Macaca fascicularis: one gene and its partners. The protein of the gene in region 3 purifies or fractionates together with the protein of the main gene of each other region. This does not show direct contact. Links are inferred from orthologs where the notes say so. Each region holds a gene or a part of one and is shown on either strand. Other genes may lie near its edges. The genes, in order: CEP170, ECH1, MAPK6 and ECI2.

Region 1 (4,306 bases), on a different chromosome or scaffold from region 3:
AGGGAGTTGGGAGAAGGAAGTAACACAGATGTAAGAATCATGTCGAAGGTACTTTTAAAAGTATACCCCCAGTCTACCAGCTAAGAAGCACTGTGTTAGCAAGCCGCTTTTACTCATGGGGTGTATCATAACCCTTAGGTATGCTGGGGCTGAATAAAGGTTAAAAATCATTTTGATAGGATCCACATATGTACCTATGATTATTCAATAGATAAAGACTCAGTAGAATCAGCAGTCGACTATGGAACCTGCTTGTTGTACCACTGGGGACTTCTAGGTCAAGAGATACACAGGCATTAATGTACAATCCAGCTCTGACACAAACCAAACAACGTCCCTTTCACAGTTTAGAGGGCAGTCTCTTTCATTTTCTCCTCTCCTTTCTCTTCTGGTCTCTATGGCCAATATGTACTCATTTCTTGTTAACTAAGCAACTATTATTTCTATTAGAATGTAAGTTTGTTTCAGGTTACATACACCACCAACATAATTTAAGAATTGTCAAATCACACAAATAATGCTAATTAACACAACTTTATTATATATTTTTCACGTATTATTTAATACATAAAAAATGTCAATTAGTTTATGACATCTAGCCTATTGTCAAACCTATGAACTAAAATATGCCCCACATATATCTTTATTATATTTTTAATTTTTACACTGGGTTTAAAAAATTCCTTTTTATGAGTAATGTGAATGTATAGAACTCTATATTTTATGTATGTCATTACATTTAATCAAATAATATGCTAACAATAAGAATATTTTAAGAAATACCACTTAGAAGGCACTTATTCTAAATTATTAGCTCTTTATACTTAATTCAGTAGTCTATTTACCTTGTAGCTGTTTTTCTACTCTTTTCAGTTCCTGTAAGATAGAAGAAATCTCCTGCAGGGAAAGCAATAACAAAAATTAGCCTCTACTTTAGCTAAATGGTATCCGTTTACAAGCAATGAATTTCACTCTCATTTTATTTGGAACACTTAATATTATCTACATGGTACTTATTACATTAATAGCAACATGATATGAAATAATTATATCTACTAAACAAGATTCAAACTAAAATATTTAAATTACAATGAAATAGAATGATTTTTCAGTGAGATGATTGTAGCAGATGAAAAGTTTAAAGTCATTTACTACTATTTAAGCAAAGTTTTTTTTTTTTTTTTTTGAGACTGAGTCTCACTGTTGCCCAGACTGGAGTGCAATGGTGCAATCTTGGCTCACTGTAACCTCCTCCTCCCAGGTTCAAGTAATTCTCTTGCCTCAGTCCCCCAAGGAGCTGGGATGATAGGCGCCTGCCACAATGCCTGGCTAGTTTTTGTACTTTTAGTAGAGACAGGGTTTTGCCATATTGGCCAGGCTGGTCTTGAACTCCTGACCTCAAGTGATCCACCCTCCTTGGCCTGACAAAGTGCTGGGATTACAGGCGTGAGCCACTCTGCCCGGCCGCAAAGATTTTTAAAAATTCTTATTAATCAACCTTGCAGTGACTATGTAAAAATGCCTTCAAATTATCTTTGTAAAAACATATAAACTGCAACCTCAATATTATAATTGTATTCTGAGCAATGAAAATCTCTACAAATTCTTTTAAAAAGATAAGTATTACATTAAGTAAATGGAAACAACTTATGTCAACTTAATATTTTCAAGTTAAATTTGGTTCTCTTTAAAAATTTCATGTTTCTAATGTTTAATTATTACAAGAAGAATATATACTAGTAAGAAACACAAAAGGCTCCTCCTTCATACCCTCTGCAACTCTGAAACAATCAACATTTTAAACCTGTGAGTCAGTAGAAGCAATACAATTTCCCAAAAGTTTGCATTTATATATTCTTTTGAAAAAGCAAATCAACGAATAGCTCAAAAATAAGGGTATTTTCCTTAAAATAAAACTCTACTAAAATGTTTTAATCTTCAAGAAAAATTACTATACCATGCTTGAGGTTTTCACAATAGGGACTTCACTTTCGGCTCTTAATTTGCTTTCTATGTCATCCCAATTCCGATCTTTGTCTTTAAATAATATTCTATAAATCAAAAAACATAAGCATATAACTTTTTATATTTTAAAAACTTATTACTTTTTTGTTAATGATACCAAAACAACGTATCTTTTCAAAGGTACATGAAGAAAAAAAACCCAACCATTGCATAAATTGAGAATTAAAATACTAAGCCAACAATACCAATTAATGAATGTGTATGAGCTCCAATTGAATGCTTATTAATACATGAATACATTTTTTACTGTTTATCTTATTCTTTATTGAAAACAAAATATAAAACAAATGTAAAGATGTTATGACCTCAAAACTTTAATATTTATAATTTACAATACAGTAATGCCCTCTTATCTACGGTTTCTCTTTCCAAGGTTTTAGTTAGTGGCAGTCAAGCGTAGTCCGAAACTATTACAGTATTTCGGGAGAGGCAGAGGGAGAGAGAGAAAAAGACCACATTCACATAACTTTTTTTTACAGTATACTGTTATAAATCTTCTATTTTATTATTAGTTACCATGGTTAATCTCTTAATGCGCCTAATTTATAAATTAAACTTTATCATAGGCATGTATGTGTAGGAAAAAACACAGTATATTAGGTTTTAGAACTATCTGTGGTGTCAGGCATCCATTGGGTGTCTTGGAACAACATGTATCACCTGATTATAAGGAGAAACGACTGTGTAACTGTCACTTATAAAAAAAATGCAATTTTGTTCAGAGAGAATATATGAAGTATAGGAATAAGTGAGATAAACAGATTAAATTAGGTATAAACAATTGTGTCTGTAAAGACTTCTTTATATAGGAATAAGCACCTTATTGAACAAGAAAAGTGTGTATATTATTTTAAAGACTGAAAATTGGGAGTACTTACTGTGCTTTTCTTTAAAAATTGTTAATTCGTGTTAGTATATTTGTACATAATAACCTATTAGGAATTAGGATGCTATTCTTTTGATAAAAACAATTGCCGATAAAGATAATTATTCTATCATTACCCTAACATCAAATAACTTATAAAATAAAGGACCACAACATTTTGATGTGTCTTCCAAATGTGGGACATTTTTCTCTCTAACACTTTAGAATCTATAAGACATGATTCAGCAGTTTTAGAAAGATGTAAAATACTAGCTACTTTTTTGGTTTCTTTTAAAATTTCTTCAGTACGTCTGGAAATCTAGTGTAAACACTATAAATCTCATGTAAATTTATTACTACTGGAAGCTGAACAGCATTTAAGCAGTAAACTAAGTGAATATTTGTGCTGGTATTTCTTCAAAGATCAACGTACCAGACTTACCTTATGTAAAATCACGAAATTCATTAACATCACATCGAGTCTGGAACATTTGCTTAACGTGACAATGGGTCTAGAATCTGGTATAAGAATATTCTTATTGCCTACTTATTAAATTTTCTAAACTCAAAAAAAATAAACACCCTTGCCAGCCATCTTTTCTAAACTATTACGTTCTTATAAAAGAGTCCTTGCAGCATTAGGACTGATGGAGAATAAGGAAATAATGACTATTTCATGGACCAACTTAGAACTTTAATGGACTTACACAATAAAGAAAGTTTCTGTTTAGCCACACAGTGCTAAAAATTCAGTGAATTTTTCCAGAGGATGGCTACTGAGTATAGTGTTTGTGGATCTAAAACTGTTAAACCATAGACATTTCACCTTTGGTGAAAATGGGTTAGAATAGTTACCTATGGTCCCTGAAAAAAAAATGCGCCACTGAAGAAATAAAAGGTTTATTTTAAAATACAGTTTGTTGGCCAGGCACAGTGGCTCATGCCTGTAATCCTAGCACTTTAGGAAGGCAAACTGGGTGGATCACTTGCTGCCAGGAGTTCGAGACCAGCCTGCGCAACATGGCGAGACCTCGTCTCTATAAAAAATACAAAAAAATTAGCCAGGTGTGGCGCAGATGCCTGTAGTCCTAGCTTCTAAGAAGGCTGAGGTGGGAGGATCACTTGTGCCCAGGGAGGTCAAGGCTGCACTGAGTGAGTGAGCTGTGATCATGCCACTGTACTCTAGCCCGTCTCAGAAAAAAAACAAAAACAAAAAACAACAAAAAAACAAAACACAAAAAACAATTTGTAAATATAATGGTACAGATCTAAGAAGTCAAACTTGCCTTTTTTTTTTTTTTGAGACGGAGTCTCGCTTTGTCCCCCAGGCTGGAGTGCAGTGGGTGTGATCTCGGCTCACTGCAAGCTCCGCCTCCCGGGTTCATGCCATTCTCCTGCCTCAGCCTCCTGAGTAGC
Region 2 (5,051 bases), on a different chromosome or scaffold from region 3:
GTTGGCCAGGCTAGTCTTGAATTCCTCCTGACCTCAAGTGATCCACCTGCCTCAGCCTCCCAAAGTGCTGGGATTACAAATGTGAGCCACTGAGCCCGGCCTGCCATTTTCAAGAAAAAAGATAATAAGGAGACTGACCCCAAGATGACCCAGATGTTGAGATTAGAAGACAAGGATTTTTTTTTTTTTTTTTTGAGACCGAGGCCTGCTGTGTCACCCAGGCTGTAGTGCAGTGGCGCCATCTCGGCTCACTGCAACCTCTGCCTCCTAGGTTCACGCCATTCTCCTGCCTCAGCCTCCCGAGGAGCTGGAACTACAGGCGCTCGCCAACACGCCCAGCTAATTTTTTTGTATTTTTAGTAGAGACAGGGTTTCATCATGTTAGCCAGGATGGTCTCAATCTCCTGACCTCGTGATCCACCTGCCTTGGCCTCCCAAAGTGCTGGGATTACAGGCGTGAGCCACGGCGCCCAGATTTTTTTTTTTTTTTTTTAAGTAGAGATGGCGTTTCACTGTGTTAGCCACCGCGCCCGGCCAGAAGACAAGGATTTTAAATCAGTCATTATAACTATGCTCAATGGCAGGAAGAAAAACATGCATGAGGCCGAGCGCGGTGGCTCAAGCCTGTAATCCCAGTACTTTGGGAGGCCGAGGCGGGTGGATCACGAAGTCAGGAGATCGAGACCATCCTGGCTAACATGGTGAAACCCCGTCTCTACTAAAAATACAAAAAACTAGCCGGGCGTGGTGGCGGGCGCCTGTAGTCCCAGCTACTCGGAGGCTGAGGCAGGAGAATGGCGTAAACCCGGGAGGCGGAGCTTGCAGTGAGCCGAGATCGGGCCACTGCACTCCAGCCTGGGTGACACAGCGAGACTCCGTCTCACAAAAAAAAAAAAAAAAAAAAAAAAAAAAAGAAAAACATGCATGACAAAAAATAAATAAATGACCAGGTACAATGGATCACTCCTGTAATCCCAGCACTTTGGGAGGCTGAAGTGGGCAGATCACTGAAGGCCAGGAGTTCAAGACCAGCCTGGCGAAAACAGTGAGAACCTGTCTCTACCACAAATATAAAAATTAGCCGGGCATGGTGCCGGTTGCCTGCAATCCCAGCTACTCGGGAGGCTGAGGCAAGAGAATGGCTTGAACCTGGGAGGTGGAGGTTGCAGTGAGCCGAGATTGTGCCACTGCACTCCAGGCTAGTCAACAGAGTGAGAGTCCTTCTACAAAAAAGAAAAAAAAAATTAGCCAGGCCTGGTGACAGGCACCTGTAATCCCAGCTACGCAGGAGGCTGAGGCAGGAGAATTGCTTGAACCCAGGAGGCAGATGTTGCAATGAGCAGAATTGTGTCACTGCACTCCAGCCTGGGTGACAAAGCGAGATTCTGTCTCAAAATAAATAAATAAATAAATAATGAACCAAATGGGAATTGGAGAATTGAAAACTACAATATCTGAAATTTAAAATCAGTGGGTGGTACCTGGGCGCAGTGGCTCACACCTGTCATCCTAGCACTTTGGGAGGCCTAGGCGGATGGATGACCTGAGGTCAGGAGTTTTAGACCAGCTTGGCCAACATGGTAAAACCCCATCTCTACTAGAAACACAAAAAATTAGCTGGGCGTGGTGGCAGACGCCCGTAATCCCAGCTACTCGGGTGGCTGAGGCAGGAGAATCACTTGAACCCAGGAAGCAGAGGTTGCAGTGAGCTGAGATTGCGCCATTGCAACAAAAGCGAAACTCTGTCTCAAACAAAACAAAACAAAACAAAAAAATCTGGGTGGGCTTTACAGGAGGACAGAGATGAGGAAAGAGTCAGTAACTGTGATCAGTGGAAATTCTCCCATCTGAAGAACAGGTCAGTGGGTCAATCCAAAGATCCAACTGACCTGTAACTGGAAATCAATGAGTGAGTTGCAGAGTTGCATGAAAGCATGTTATTATATTATATGCTGACACAGCTATAGACTGAGAGGTTAAGCATATTCTTCATGGCCATAGATCCAGGATGGAAACCCAGACTTCAGAGCCTATGATCCCGTCATGTTCTGTTGGACTAATTTTCATATTTGAATGTTTTAAATTAGGCCTTTAAAAAAAAAATGATAGGGCTGGCCATGGTGGCACCTGCCTGTAAACCTGGCACTTTGGGAGGCCGAGGTGGGAGGATGGCTTGAGCTCAAGTATTTGAGGTTACAGTGATTTATGATTAGGCCACTGCACTCCAACCTGGGTGACAGAGCAAGATCCTGTCTCCCAAAAAAAAAACCACACACACACAAAAAACAGATAAAACTGTAAGTTAGGGGTCGGAGTGGTGGCTCACGTCTATAATCCCAGCACTTTGGGAGGCTGAGGCAGGCAGATTATGAGGTCAGGAGAGCGAGACCATCCTGGCCAACATGGCGAAACCTCGTCTCTACTAAAAACACAAAAATTAACTGGGCGTGGTGGCCCGCGCCTGTAGTCCCAGGCAGGAGAATTGCTTGAACTCGGGAGGCAGAGGTTGCAGTGACCTGAGTTTGCGCCACTGCACTCCAGACTGACAACAGAGCAAGACCCTGCCTCAAAACAAACAAACAAACAAACAAACACAACAAAACGAACAGCAAAAAAAGTGTAAGTTAGAAGCTGCTTAAAATCCTAATTAAGAAGCACTGCTCCACTGTCTATTGCCAGGAGCTGGGAAGGCTGGTAGGGTGTGTGAAGAGCGTCTGGTACCTGCAGTGAACATTTTTCCTGCACCAGAGATCACCACCGCCCGACAGTCAGCGTCTCTCGAAATCTTGTTGAAGCACTCTACCATCTCTCTGTGAAGCAACGAGTGAAGGGCTACAAATGGGGTGGGAATACCCTGCCCTCATGTCCATCTCCCCACAAGGTTCCACTCTGGCTCAGTCCCGCAGCCCCCGCCTCCCCCAGCAGGCAGGCCTCCAGGATCTGCAGGTCACACCTCCAGAAGGCCTTGTTCATGGCATTCCTCTTGTTGGGCCGGTTGAGCTGGACATGCAGAACGTGTTTCTGCGCAGATGTCACACGAAGGGACTCATAGCTGTGGTCTGGGGCTTCCTCTTGTGCAGAGGAGCCAGTGAGGCGAAGGCTAATACTGAGGCCCGAGTAGTTGGAGGCTGTCAATCCTGCGGAGAAAGGAAGAGCCTTTGATGACCCCAGACTCCAAGACACAGGCCTATAGAATTAGGGAGCCCTTCAAAAGGGAGCACACGCACCCCTGAATTTAGGGGACTCGGGCCCTTCGTGACCCCGGATGGGCCTCCCCGTCCTACAGCTGCTATAACAGCACGACAGCGCGATACACCACCATAAGTCAAGAGGTGACTCACGTCGGCTCAGTAGGTCGCGGAGTCTGCGAGAAGCCACTATCCCCGCCGCCATCGCCGCCGCCTTCGTCTACGGCGTTGGGACCGAGTAACCCACCAGTTAGCGGAAGGGGCGGGCACAAACGGCCGCCATGTTGAGCGAGGGCACCGATGCCGCAGCCTGACAGGCAAAGACGCCGTTCTCCCCGCCATCTTTACTAAGGGCAGCCGAGTTCCGGTTGCCTTACATAGTTAGAGCCAAGCTCAGAAAAGGACCCTTTGCCCCAGTGGGAACCTGGCCTGAGAAAATAGCTCCTGCAACGGTGTGAACCCGGGAGGCGGAGCTTGCAGTGAGCCGAGATAGAGCCATTGCTCTCCAGCTCTCCAGCTTGGGAGACTCAGTCCAAAAAGGAAAAGAAAATAGCTCCTGCTAAAGTTCATGACACCTATGTTTCATAATGGTGGAATAATTGGCGACAGCTGAAACGTCCAAGGACATAATGGCAGCAGAGCTTGTCATCATGCATGTGTATATATCATGTTAACTAAAAATAAAACTTGCATTACTGTGAGTTTACCCACGTAAAGGAATGAGTACAGACGGGCCAACATTAAGCGCTGACTGTATATGAACTCCCACCGGGAGGTCGTACTGTTTCCCACTATATGCAGAGGAAACTGACTCAGGCACGGGAAGACACGAGGTTCAAGGTCTCTGGGCTTCGGAAGGGCTAAAGTAGGATTACATGGTTCCAGAGTTCATATTCTTAGGCCGGCGCGTGGTTCACGCCTGTAATACACTTTGGGAGGCCGCGGCAGGCGGATCACCTGAGGTCAGGAGTTCAAGACCAGCCTGGTCAACATGGCGAAATCCCGTCTCTAGTAAAAATACAAAAATTAGCTGGGTGCGGTGTCCGGCACCTGTAATCCCAGCGGGAGGCTGAGGCAGGAGAATGGCTTGAGCCAAGGAGGCGGAGATTGCAATGAGCAGAGATTGCGCCACTGCACTCAAACCTGGGTGACAGAGCAAGACTCCGTCTCAAAAAAAAAAAAAAAAAAAGTTCATGTTCTTAAAAAAAAAAAAAAAGCGAAACTCCCTTGGTAAAAGCCAGCTATCCGAAGGCATAAAAAGTACTTTAAAACTGCTGGCCGGGGCCGGGCGCGGTGGCTCAAGCCTGTAATCCCAGCACTTTGGGAGGCCGAGACGGGCGGATCACGAGGTCAGGAGATCGAGACCATCCTGACTAACACGGTGAAACCCCGTCTCTACTAAAAATACAAAAACTAGCCGGGCGAGGTGGCGGGCGCCTGTAGTCCCAGCTACTCGGGAGGCTGAGGCAGGAGAATGGCGTAAACCCGGGAGGCGGAGCTTCCAGTGAGCTGAGATCCGGCCACTGCACTCCAGCCTGGGTGACAGAGCGAGACTCGGTCTCAAAAAAAAAAAAAAAAAAAAAAACTGCTGGCTGGGAGCGGTGGCTCACGCCTGTAATCCCAGCACTTTGGGAGGCCGAGGCGGGTGCATCACGTCAGCAGATTGAGACCATCCTGGCTAACACGGTGAAACCCCGTCTCCACTAAAAATACAAAATATTAGCCGCGCGTGTTGGCGGGCGCCTGTAGTCCCAGCTACTTAGGAGGCTGAAGCTGGAGAATGGTGTGAATCTGGGAGGCGGCGCTTGCAGTAAGCCTAGATAGCGCCACTGCAGTCCAGCCTGGAGACAGAGAGAGACTTGG
Region 3 (4,995 bases):
GTTCCACATGGCTAGGGAGGCCTCAGGAAACTTACAATCATGGTGGAAGAGGTAGCAAGCACATCTTAGATGGCAGCAGGTGAGATAGAGAGAGAGTGTGTGTGAAAGAGGAACCGTCTAACACTTATAAAACCATCAGATCGCCGAGCACAGTGGCTCACGCCTGTAATCTCAGCACTTTGGGAGGCTGAGGTGGGCAGATCACGAGGTCAGGAGTTCGAGACCAGCCTGACCAACACGGTGAAACCCCGTCTCTACTAAACATACAAAAATTAGCCGGGCATGGTGGTGCGTGCCTGTAATCCCAGCTCCTCAGGAGGCTGAGGCAAGAGAATTGCTTGAACCTGGGAGGCAGAGGTTGCAGCAAGCCGAGATCGCACTATTGCAGGCCAGCCTGGGCAACAAGAGTGAAACTCCGTCTCAAACAAAAAACAAACAAACAAAAAAACACCATCTGATCTCGTGAGAACTGATTCACCAACATGAGAACAGCATGGGGGAAACCCGCCTCCATCATCCAATCACCTCCCACCAGGTCCCTCCCTCCACACATGGGGATTATGGGGATTACAATTTGAGATGAGATTTGGGTGGAGTCACAGATCCAAACCATATCACCTTTCTACTTCTGCCTTGATCACTCATCGGATTTGGGCAACCCAGAAAAGGCACATCTTCTTGGGCAAGGTAGCTCTCTGCACATGAGGCAAGCCCAGAAGGAAATGGTAGCTGACAGCTGTGTGCTAAGCACAGTCCCCACAGCAGGGCAGCACCTTCCTTGAAGGGGGATCTGGTCAAAACATCTCAACATCCACCACAGGTATCATGTCAGCAATTGACTCTCAAATTGTTCAAGTAAAAATTAATTATGCTATGTACGCAACTTTTCTGTTAGTTTGAAATACTTTAAAAATAAAATGCTTTTAAAACAAATGAACAGACTTACACAAATTAAATATGACTGAAAAAAGGTCTGAAAAAGAGCCTCCTGTTTTTTGTTGTTGTTGTTTTTTGAGACGGAGTCTCGCTCTGTGGCTCAGGCTGGAGTGCAGTGGCCGGATCTCACCTCACTGCAAGCTCCGCCTCCCGGGTTCACGCCATTCTCCTGCCTCAGCCTCCCGAGTAGCTGGGACTACAGGCCCCCGCCACCACGCCCGGCTAGCTTTTTGTATTTTTTTAGTAGAGACGGGCTTTCACCGTGTTAGCCTGGATGGTCTACGATCTCCTGACCTCATGATCCGCCCACCTTGGCCTCTCAAAGTGCTGGGATTACAGGCTTGAGCCACCGCGCCCGGCCTGAGCCTCCTGTTGCTGATACAAAGAAAGGAGCATGATGTTGAAAAGATGAAAATTCATTTGAATGAATAAAATATGGATGGCCAGAAGAATTAGTGAGAGGTAAGAGTGAAACAGTAAATTGAAGCTTCATCTTTGCTGATGCAATATAATTCCAGGCCTTCAGAATAGGGCAAGAATGCAGAATGCTTATTGCCTCACATTTACACTGGCCTTTAATTTCACCTCACCTCTTCTGAGTAGGTGAAGTCTCTTCTAGCTTGCCTTTAGTAGTTCCTGTTCCCTATCTCCCTCTTCCTTTTGTTCCTTTCCTCCTCACGACCATCATGAAAATTGGTCTGTGGAGATCTGAGTCTTTCCTAAGCTTCTCATACTGGGATGAAGATTATTTTTAGGATTAATCTGAGTCACAGAGGGAGGAGGGAAAGAACCATTTTAATCTTTTCCTTTTCACTCCTTCATAACCTGCTGTACGGCTAAATCATTTTACAAACACGTCTTTCCTCCTTTTCCCTAGGAATGCTTTGCCTTTTATTTTTCCTTTGGAAACAGTATCCATAAGCCTTCATCAGAAGCTTCTAAAAGTGGAAGGAATTTTTCTTTGTTAGAATGGACCACGGGCTAAATTAAAGGAGATTGCTATAAGCTGCTTTCATGTAAGTAAATCCATTTATTATTATAGCGGTTGTTGGGATCTGAGGGGTTATATAGTTGCCCCTGCTTCCCTTTCTCACTGGCCCCCTCAGCTATACCCCTGTCTTAGTCTGTTTTGTGCTTTTTATAACAAAATACCTAAGACTGAATAATTTATAAAGGAAAAAAAAATTATTTGGCTCACAGTTGTGGAGGCTGGGAAGTCTAAGAGGGGACGGCATCTAATAAGGGCCTTCTTGCCGCATCATCCCATGGTAGAAGGCGGAAGGGCAAGAGTGATCTCACGAGGGCAAGACACTGAACTCGAAGCTTCCAGCTTTATTATAATCAGCATTAATCAATTCATGGGAGTGCAGCCCCTATGACCTAAACACCTCCCATTAGGCCCCACCTCCCAACGCTGCTGCATTGGGGATTAAGTTGCCAACATACCCTTTTTGGGGAACACCTCCAAACCATAGCAACCCCACTCTGGATTTTCCCTTCTGTCCCTCCGAGGCTGAGTGTGGAAGGCACTCCTGCTTTCTGTGGAGAGATGCAGGCAGAGACTGTGTTTGACCTTCTTCCTTTGCAGCAACACGCTTGAGCATGCCTCATGTTTCACTGTTGGACCACATTTCTTTGAAGGGTAAATAAGCATGTGAACGCTACACTTTAAAAAACATCTCTACCAATTTACACATTAAACACTGAGGAAACAAGGAAGAACAAACAAAACCCCCCTACTAAGTTACCCCAAAAGGTGGGAGAAAGTTCTGTCTTGGATAAAATAGGCACTCAAAGGCTATCTGTTGAATGAATTGAATGAATGAAGAGAGATCTGGGCCAGGTGTGGTGGCTCATTGCCTGTAATCCCAGCACTTTGGGAGGCCGAGGAGGGCAGATCACCTGAGGTCAGGAGTTCAAGACCAGCCTGGCCAACATGGCGAAACCCCATCGCTACTAAAAAAGTACAAAACTTAGCCAGGTGTGGTGGTGGGTGCCTGTAATCCCAGCTACTCAGGAGGCTGAGGCAGGAGAATTGCTTGAACTTGAGAGGCAGAGGTTGCAGTGAGCTGAGATCGCACCACTGTCCTCCAGCCTGGGCGACAAGAGTGAAACTCCATCTCAAACAAACAAACAAACAAACAAACAAAAAAGATCTGGCTTAACTTAGGTGAATGATAGTTTAAACAGGCAAGCTTCTGGCTGAAGATACTAACAACAACCCTTATTTAGAGTAGGTTAGCCTTTTCAGAGTGCTTCCACACATTATCTCATGTACTCCTTGGACAGACCCTGCCCTGCGAGGGAGGGGAGCAGGTGCTATTTATACCATTTTAAAGTTGAGATTAAATGACTTGCCTGGAATCAAACAACTAAGTGGCAGAACTGGGGCCAACACCTAGGTCTGCTGACTACCACTGGCACCAAGGCACCAGAGAGATTCTTCTGGTTTCAGAGTAGAGCCCCCAAGGGTTACTGTTGGAGGACTTGTCTTACTTAAAACTGTCATAGACTGTGTGGAAGCAGACCCATGTAGGAAACATCACACGGCTGAAATGGCCTTAAGCTCTCCAGGGGAGTAAACACCAAGCAGATGGATCTAAATTGAAAAGATAAGCTTCACACAGCTTATGTGAGTGGACAAAAATATGGCAAATGAGTTTCATTCTGTACTGAATTGGAATAATGCATTTAGTATTGTTAGTCTAAAGTCACTTAAAAGATGAGTTTGGAGCTGTGTTTTATTCTAAGAGACCCATGAGTTATTGTTGACTATTTCCTAAAGTCATATAACAATATGCTAGGCCTCTTTGCTAAGAACGTGGAAAACAGAACTGAAAGCATTATTTTGTCTTACATTTGACAAAATGGTAATGAAGTTATACGTGGAATCATGCATTTAATTCTCCCTGGAAACCGTAAAAAAGAGTCTAGTATTTCATACATATACCAGGTCAGAGAAAGAGGTAACTAAAATGACCAAATAGATTTCCTAAGAAGAAAGTTGCTTTAAAAGTAGAATTAAATAAGGGAAAATTTGAAGGAAACCCCTATTCACCTTTCATTTTTAACAAACATTTATTTGAGAAACCACTATATTCAGACACTATGCTCAACACTAGAGTTTACAATGACTAAAACACAGAAGTTCACAATCATTGTGTGAGAATACCAGCCGGGATGAATCATGAGTCCAACTCAGCACAGCTATTCTTGTGTGCTTAATGAATTGGCAGCTGGTTTAGGGTGCAATCTCTTGAACTTGGTTGGTATGTGTTGGTTGCCGAGGCCAATCAACCCTGGTAAACCTGCAATCAAGTTCTTCAAGCAGCAAGTCTGAAGGACTGGACCCTTCATATCAGCTACAGCATAAAGTGAAGTTATGATTTATTAACAGTGTCGTTAACATTTAGTTGTTTACCTGGGTCTAACAGATACCATCCTTCTCTGTGGTCTCAGCACTTCTGAGCTAGGAAGGTGCAGATAGTCCCTGCTTGTGACTGAATTATGTTCCCAAAAGTTGATTTCTAACTTGGTTGTTTGAAACTGAAAATGCATTTTTTTCCCCAGAGAATTAATGTTAGAAATACTGGTTCTGTTCTCAGGCAAACTCTTAGAAGGCCATTTAGCTTTGAGACTATAGAACTGTGACCTACGACATTGTTTCTATGGGAAAATGTGCCCCAGAAGGAACAAGGTCTTCCTTCCTACCCCACTTCCTACCTCCCTGTGTAATGAAGCCTGTGTGTTTACTACAGGAAGTGCTGCTCCCAAGAGTGGGCGGCTGGGCTTTGAGGCAGCCTTGGACACTTATCCCCAAGGGCAGAGATATTCTCACTTCTCCTGCCCCAGCTCTGGCAGGGAGGGGAGTGGGAGCAGGTCGGGAGTCTGTCCCTGACCCATCTTCTTCAGGGCTTCTGGTGGGTGGGGTTCTAGCAAGACTGGCTACATAATTTCTGGGGTCCTTTGTTCAAAAGGCAGAAAAATAAAAATGCTGCTGAGCTAGTGAAGTATAAAACTTTTTTTCCTTTCTTCTGCTCTCTCTCTCGACTTGTTACA
Region 4 (5,089 bases), on a different chromosome or scaffold from region 3:
CCCAATAGGAAAAACATTCCTCCCGAGGTCATGGTTTTATTGCTCTGTAGGATATTAACCAGTTTTGTCTCTAGCTTTGCAATCCATTCCAGCATTTTTTTTTTTACATGGACTATATTAACTAGTCTTTTAACCTCTTCTTTAGCACCCTGTTGGTTCCCTAATTAATGAGCTAAGTAAATCTCTGACACATGCTCTTTCTATATCTTTAAAATTATACTTTGAAAAAGATAAGCTCATTTCCCACACCCCACTCTTTTCTGTGGTAGGAATAAGCCTGAGAGTAGTTTGTATTGCAAAAGGTTTTACTATCAAAATATGCTTACCAGTACGAGATTTTAAAAATATTTCCACGACAGCCGTTTCATCTTCTGGAAATGAGTGAGTCTTGTATTATCTGCAATATCTGATTACTGCATTTCCATTACCTCTGAGGGTCACCTAACAGCCTTGGAGAGAGTCAGGGTCTCTGAGAGAGGCAGCTCTGCCTACCAACTACCACTCTGTAATATCTGGAGAGGCCGGGTGTGGTGATTCACGCCTGTAATCCCAACAGTTTGGGAGGCCGAGGCGGGTGAATCACCTGAGGTCAGGAGTTTGAGACCAGTCTGACCAATCTCTACTAAATACAAAAAATTTAGCCAGGCCTGGTGGCGCATGCCTGTAATCCCAACTACTCGGGAGCCGGAGACAGGAGACTCACTTGAACCCGGAGGTGGAGGTTACAGTGAGCCAAGATTGTGCCATCACACTGCAGCCTATGCAACAAGAGGGAAACTCCATCTCAAAAACAAAAACAAAAAAACAAAAACATGTATCTGGAGAAAGGCTTTGGGATAAGCCCAAATTGTTCTACTTGACTTTCGGTGTTGCCCTACCTACACTATTAGCCAGATCTATCTGATGAAACTTACTGCTAAAGTTACTTGAGACTTGGATTCTGCTCACCTGCAAGCCTCATGTCTTTGGGGAATTCACCAGGTTAATCTTTCTGGGTCTCAGTTCCCACATCAGCTCAACAGGGCAATATGCTCAACAGGGCAATTTCCACATCAGCTCAAAAGGGCAATATCGTTTTCCTTACAGGGTTGTCCAAAGACTTACAATTAGCCTGGCTCACTATCGATGGTCCACAAGTGTCAGCTACCTAATACTAAAACGCCTAGGCATGCTTGGATAGGACAACTTGGGCACAGAATTTAGAGGGGTGGTTTTGTTTTGTTCTGTTTTGTTTTTTGGTTCTCTGGGAACTGGACAAGGTGACACAGCCAAGGCCCTTCCAACTCTTAAGAATTCTTCCCCAAAGAAAATACTTTGCATATGCCTCAGCAGAACTCAAAAATATCCACGAACTCTTAACTGACACTAAAAAGGTGCATACTCCAAAAATCACTTCTGATTCCCAGGTGTCCTACCAGGTCTGCAAATCTTCGATTTGGGGGTGCATGACCTAGCTGCTCTTAAGCATACGCCCTCAATTGTTACCCCATCTCCCGGCTCACGGCTGGCCCTCGGGATGCAGCGACCCCTCCTCGCCAGGCTCCGCGGGACTCCGGGAAGGGCACTCAGTGCTCCAGCAACGGCAGGGTTCGCATTGCTGAGGTCCGCCCAGAGAACAGCCGCGCCTCCAGCTCGCAGTTCCTCGGAGCCAGGCCCGGGAGCATTTGTGCCCCGCCCCACGCGCCGCGTAGGCCTCCCCGGATCACCGTCCCCGCACCCCGCGCCCTTCCTCCACTCCCGGGTGATACCTCGCCTCGCTCTGGCTCCGCCCCCGCATCTCAGTCCCGGATCCTGACCGCCTAGAGACCCCGCCCCGCCCACGCCCCGACCCCCGGCCCCACCCCCGAGCCCCCGCAGCCCCAGAGCCGCCCACGGGCTACTGACGCCGAAAGCGGCCTGGCTACGTTCTCAGCCTGGCCCCGCCCCAACCCTGGCCCCGCCCATGCCCCAGGCTCCTGCCTGGGCTCTGCTCTCGGCCCCGCCCCGCACCCAAGCCCCGGCCCCACCCCCAAACCTCCGCAGCCCGCGAGCCCAGGCCCCGCCCCCGAGCCCCGGCCCCGCCCCTGAGCCGCCCACGGGGTAGCGATGGCGCACTTGGCCTGGAGACTTGCAGAGCGTTGGTGTCCGAGGTAAGCTTGGAGCCCCGGCCTCCCGGCCCAAGGTTGCCCGCAGGATACCGCTGTCCAGGCGAAGGTCGCCGCCGTTGAAAGACCCTCCTTCCCTATTGTCTAGGTGGCAACAGGACTTTCTTTGCTGGTTTTCCAGCGAGGCAGTACTAAAGGATAACCCCCTCACTCGCGCGCCCTCCTGCACCGATGGGCCCAGAGGGGTCAGCATGGGCGCGTCGGAAGATCAGGGCTATGGTTCTCTGTCCGCAGTCCCCGAGGTCTCCGCCTGCGTTCGCGCACGCTCCCATCCTCCGGGGGCCGGACTCCGGGCGGGTGAGCCGCCCAGCTGGGCACGGTGGTTCCCCGGACACCCGGGCCTGCACTTCCCAGCCGGGCTGCCTCTGGGGTGCAAAGCGTTGCTTGCTAAAAGCGAGGTAAACGCAAGCCGTTACCACTCGTGTGGACTTAACACTCTTTGCCCTTTGGAGAACTCGTATGCTATAAAGTGAAATGGCCGGGTACGCAGTCACGGCTAAGCAGCACGCTCCACGTCCCTGGGGTCCCGGGAACCCCGCACGAATCTGTGTGTAGGGAACAAAACCGAAACACGGTGGTGGCCTTGAAGTGGTAAAATTATTAGTGATTTTCCCGACTTTATGTATTTCTTAAATGGTCGTGTTTTTGCTATTTGTTTTTAAAACTCACGCTTTATTTAAAAATAAATAATTTGTTCCACATTTTGTGGAAACTTGTACGTTTCTTCTTTTTGTGGACATTTTAAATTTTTCTTTCGTTTTCTACTTGGAATTTGCCATATAAGATGCAGTTTTTCCCTTTACAGAAAATCATTTTAATATAAAACTTACTGTAGGCTGATCTTACTGAATCAGTTACTAATAGTCCAAAGTTTGAACCTAGAGTTCATTGTACCATTTTCGAGTTACGTAATTGTGTTTGTGTGTGAGGTTTGGGCTTTGTAACCTGTATTATTTTAATCATCTTTGATGCCATTAACTCTACTATTCCGGGTCATCGTCGTGAACATCCATTTTTTGCTTGTGGCCTGCCTGAGTCCTGTGCATTGAAGTTTGCCACCCCACCCCCGCTCACTATGTGTGCTTAAAAACCTGCTCGTCACCCCGCGGTGGTTACTGTTTCTGCTCTGTTCCTGGCTGGCTGGTTAAACATCCCCACAAAAGGGGGCACGCCTGCTGAGCCTCCTCCTTCACTGACTCCCTTCCACTGCAGGTAGATTCCCTCCCATCTGCTGAGAAGGCTGTGGCTCTGTCTGGAATGCCAGCAACTGTTGCTATGCCCTTTTGAATATTTCTTGTATATTCACATCCATTCTCCCTTCCTTCCACCTGTGTGTATGTTGGAAACCGGTTTTCCAGCAAAAAGACAAGAATTGACCTGATATAGTTTATGGCTTATCAGTGAGTGCAGAGGCTGTTTCAGGACTTTGGGACACGTTACAAAATTCTGTGCACTTTAGCTTTTTGGTCTCTTGCTGTTCACTGTCTTGCATGCGCTTCACTTCTTGCTTTTGGCAAAATTTACATGGTATTCCTGTTCTGGCTGTTTTTATCTTAAATTGCTTACAAATACTTCCCTGGATGGTTATTTACTTTTCCATTTATTTAAAGTTAGTACTGTTAGCTTCCGTATTGAGTTACTATCTTGGAATCCTTACAGCCAATTATTTGCAGCCAGTTTGCAGAGGCAAGTATAAAGAAAATATGGACAAACATAGCATTTTAGTATGTATGGGTTGGGAACAATTAGAAATCAGGCTGCAGAAATGTGAGGGTTGGGAACATATAGAAATCAGTCTGCCTAATTGTAGTTCTCTGCAGGTCATTAGTTTCCCAGTAGTTCAGCTGCACCTGAATAGAACAGCAATGAGAGCCAGTCAGAAGGACTTTGAAAATGCAATGAATCAAGTGAAACTCTTGAGGAAGGATCCAGGAAATGAAGTGAAGCTAAAACTCTACTCACTGTATAAGCAGGTAAATGCCTACGGTCTGACATTTAAATAATTTTAGGCAAATGACTCCTTAAGTAGATAAACTGTGTGTTTACTAAAATGTAGCCTTAATATTTTGGGTTTGTCTTGCTCCCTCTTAAGTATGTGTGTGTGTGTGTGTGTGTGTGTGTGTATATATATATGTGTGTGTGTGTATATATATATATGTATGTATGTATATGCGCGCAAGTTTTTTAATATTAGACCTTGAAATATTATCAAGGCACAAAGTGCCTCAGTGTCATGCCAGAGTAAAAGAGACTTACGAGATATAATATTCACATTTGTAGACCTTATTTAGCTCTTGATTAGAATAAATCAATTGAAAAAGGTATTTTTAAGATAATTGGGGAAGTTTTGAATAAGGTCAGAGTGTTAGAAGATACCTAGAAATCATTGTTAATGGTGTCAAGGTTATATAAGAAAATGTTGATATTTTTAAGAAGTGCATACTAAAGGATATAGGGGTGAAACAATGGATAGTTGAAGTTCTCTAAGCAAAAAAAGAAAGAAAAGGATAGATGAGGCCAGGCATGGTGGCTCACTTCTGTAATCCCAGCACTTTGGGAGGCTGAGGCGGGCAGATCCCTTAAGGTCAGGAGTTTGAGACCAGCCTGGCCACCATGGTTAAACCTCGTCTCTACTAAAAATACAAAAATTAGCTGGACGTAGTGGCGTGCACCTGTAATCCCAGCTACTTGGGAAGCTGAGGCAGGAGAATCGCTTGAATCAGGTTGCAGTGAGCCAAGATTGCGCCACTACACTCCAGCCTGAGTGACAGAGCAAAACTCTGTCAAAAAAAGAAAAAAAGAAAAGAGAGAGAGAGAGATGAAGCAAGTAAGGCAATTTGATCGTTGTTGAACCTGGATGATGGGTATTGGGAATTCATTATCGTATTCTACTTTGGTATGTTTGGAAATGTTTATAACAAAATTTAAAACCTAAAGCTTTGAAG

What was found.
Region 1: the proteins of MAPK6 (region 3) and CEP170 purify together in Homo sapiens (affinity purification with mass spectrometry; 3 studies listed by BioGRID and IntAct, with this or other methods). This does not show direct contact. The link is inferred for Macaca fascicularis from reciprocal best matches to the Homo sapiens genes MAPK6 and CEP170.
Region 2: the proteins of MAPK6 (region 3) and ECH1 purify together in Homo sapiens (affinity purification with mass spectrometry; 3 studies listed by BioGRID and IntAct, with this or other methods). This does not show direct contact. The link is inferred for Macaca fascicularis from reciprocal best matches to the Homo sapiens genes MAPK6 and ECH1.
Region 4: the proteins of MAPK6 (region 3) and ECI2 purify together in Homo sapiens (affinity purification with mass spectrometry; 3 studies listed by BioGRID and IntAct, with this or other methods). This does not show direct contact. The link is inferred for Macaca fascicularis from reciprocal best matches to the Homo sapiens genes MAPK6 and ECI2.

The regions. Positions count from the first base shown.
Region 1 is NC_088375.1:6,090,391-6,094,696, reverse strand, and holds part of CEP170 (centrosomal protein of 170 kDa), read right to left. Parts: intron 2,052-4,306; coding exon 1,958-2,051; intron 898-1,957; coding exon 846-897; intron 1-845.
Region 2 is NC_088393.1:45,898,382-45,903,432, forward strand, and holds the start of ECH1 (delta(3,5)-Delta(2,4)-dienoyl-CoA isomerase, mitochondrial), read right to left. Parts: upstream 3,429-5,051; 5' UTR 3,394-3,428; coding exon 3,228-3,393; intron 3,138-3,227; coding exon 2,954-3,137; intron 2,811-2,953; coding exon 2,722-2,810; intron 1-2,721. UniProt on the Homo sapiens protein: Isomerization of 3-trans,5-cis-dienoyl-CoA to 2-trans,4-trans-dienoyl-CoA.
Region 3 is NC_088381.1:28,454,150-28,459,144, forward strand, and holds the start of MAPK6 (mitogen-activated protein kinase 6), read left to right. Parts: upstream 1-1,748; 5' UTR 1,749-1,952; intron 1,953-4,995. UniProt on the Homo sapiens protein: Atypical MAPK protein. Phosphorylates microtubule-associated protein 2 (MAP2) and MAPKAPK5.
Region 4 is NC_088378.1:168,909,847-168,914,935, forward strand, and holds the start of ECI2 (enoyl-CoA delta isomerase 2), read left to right. Parts: upstream 1-2,065; 5' UTR 2,066-2,085; coding exon of another isoform or gene 2,086-2,129; 5' UTR 2,130-2,315; coding exon 2,316-2,542; intron 2,543-3,058; exon of another isoform or gene 3,059-3,356; intron 3,357-3,954; coding exon 3,955-4,117; intron 4,118-5,089. UniProt on the Homo sapiens protein: Able to isomerize both 3-cis and 3-trans double bonds into the 2-trans form in a range of enoyl-CoA species. Has a preference for 3-trans substrates.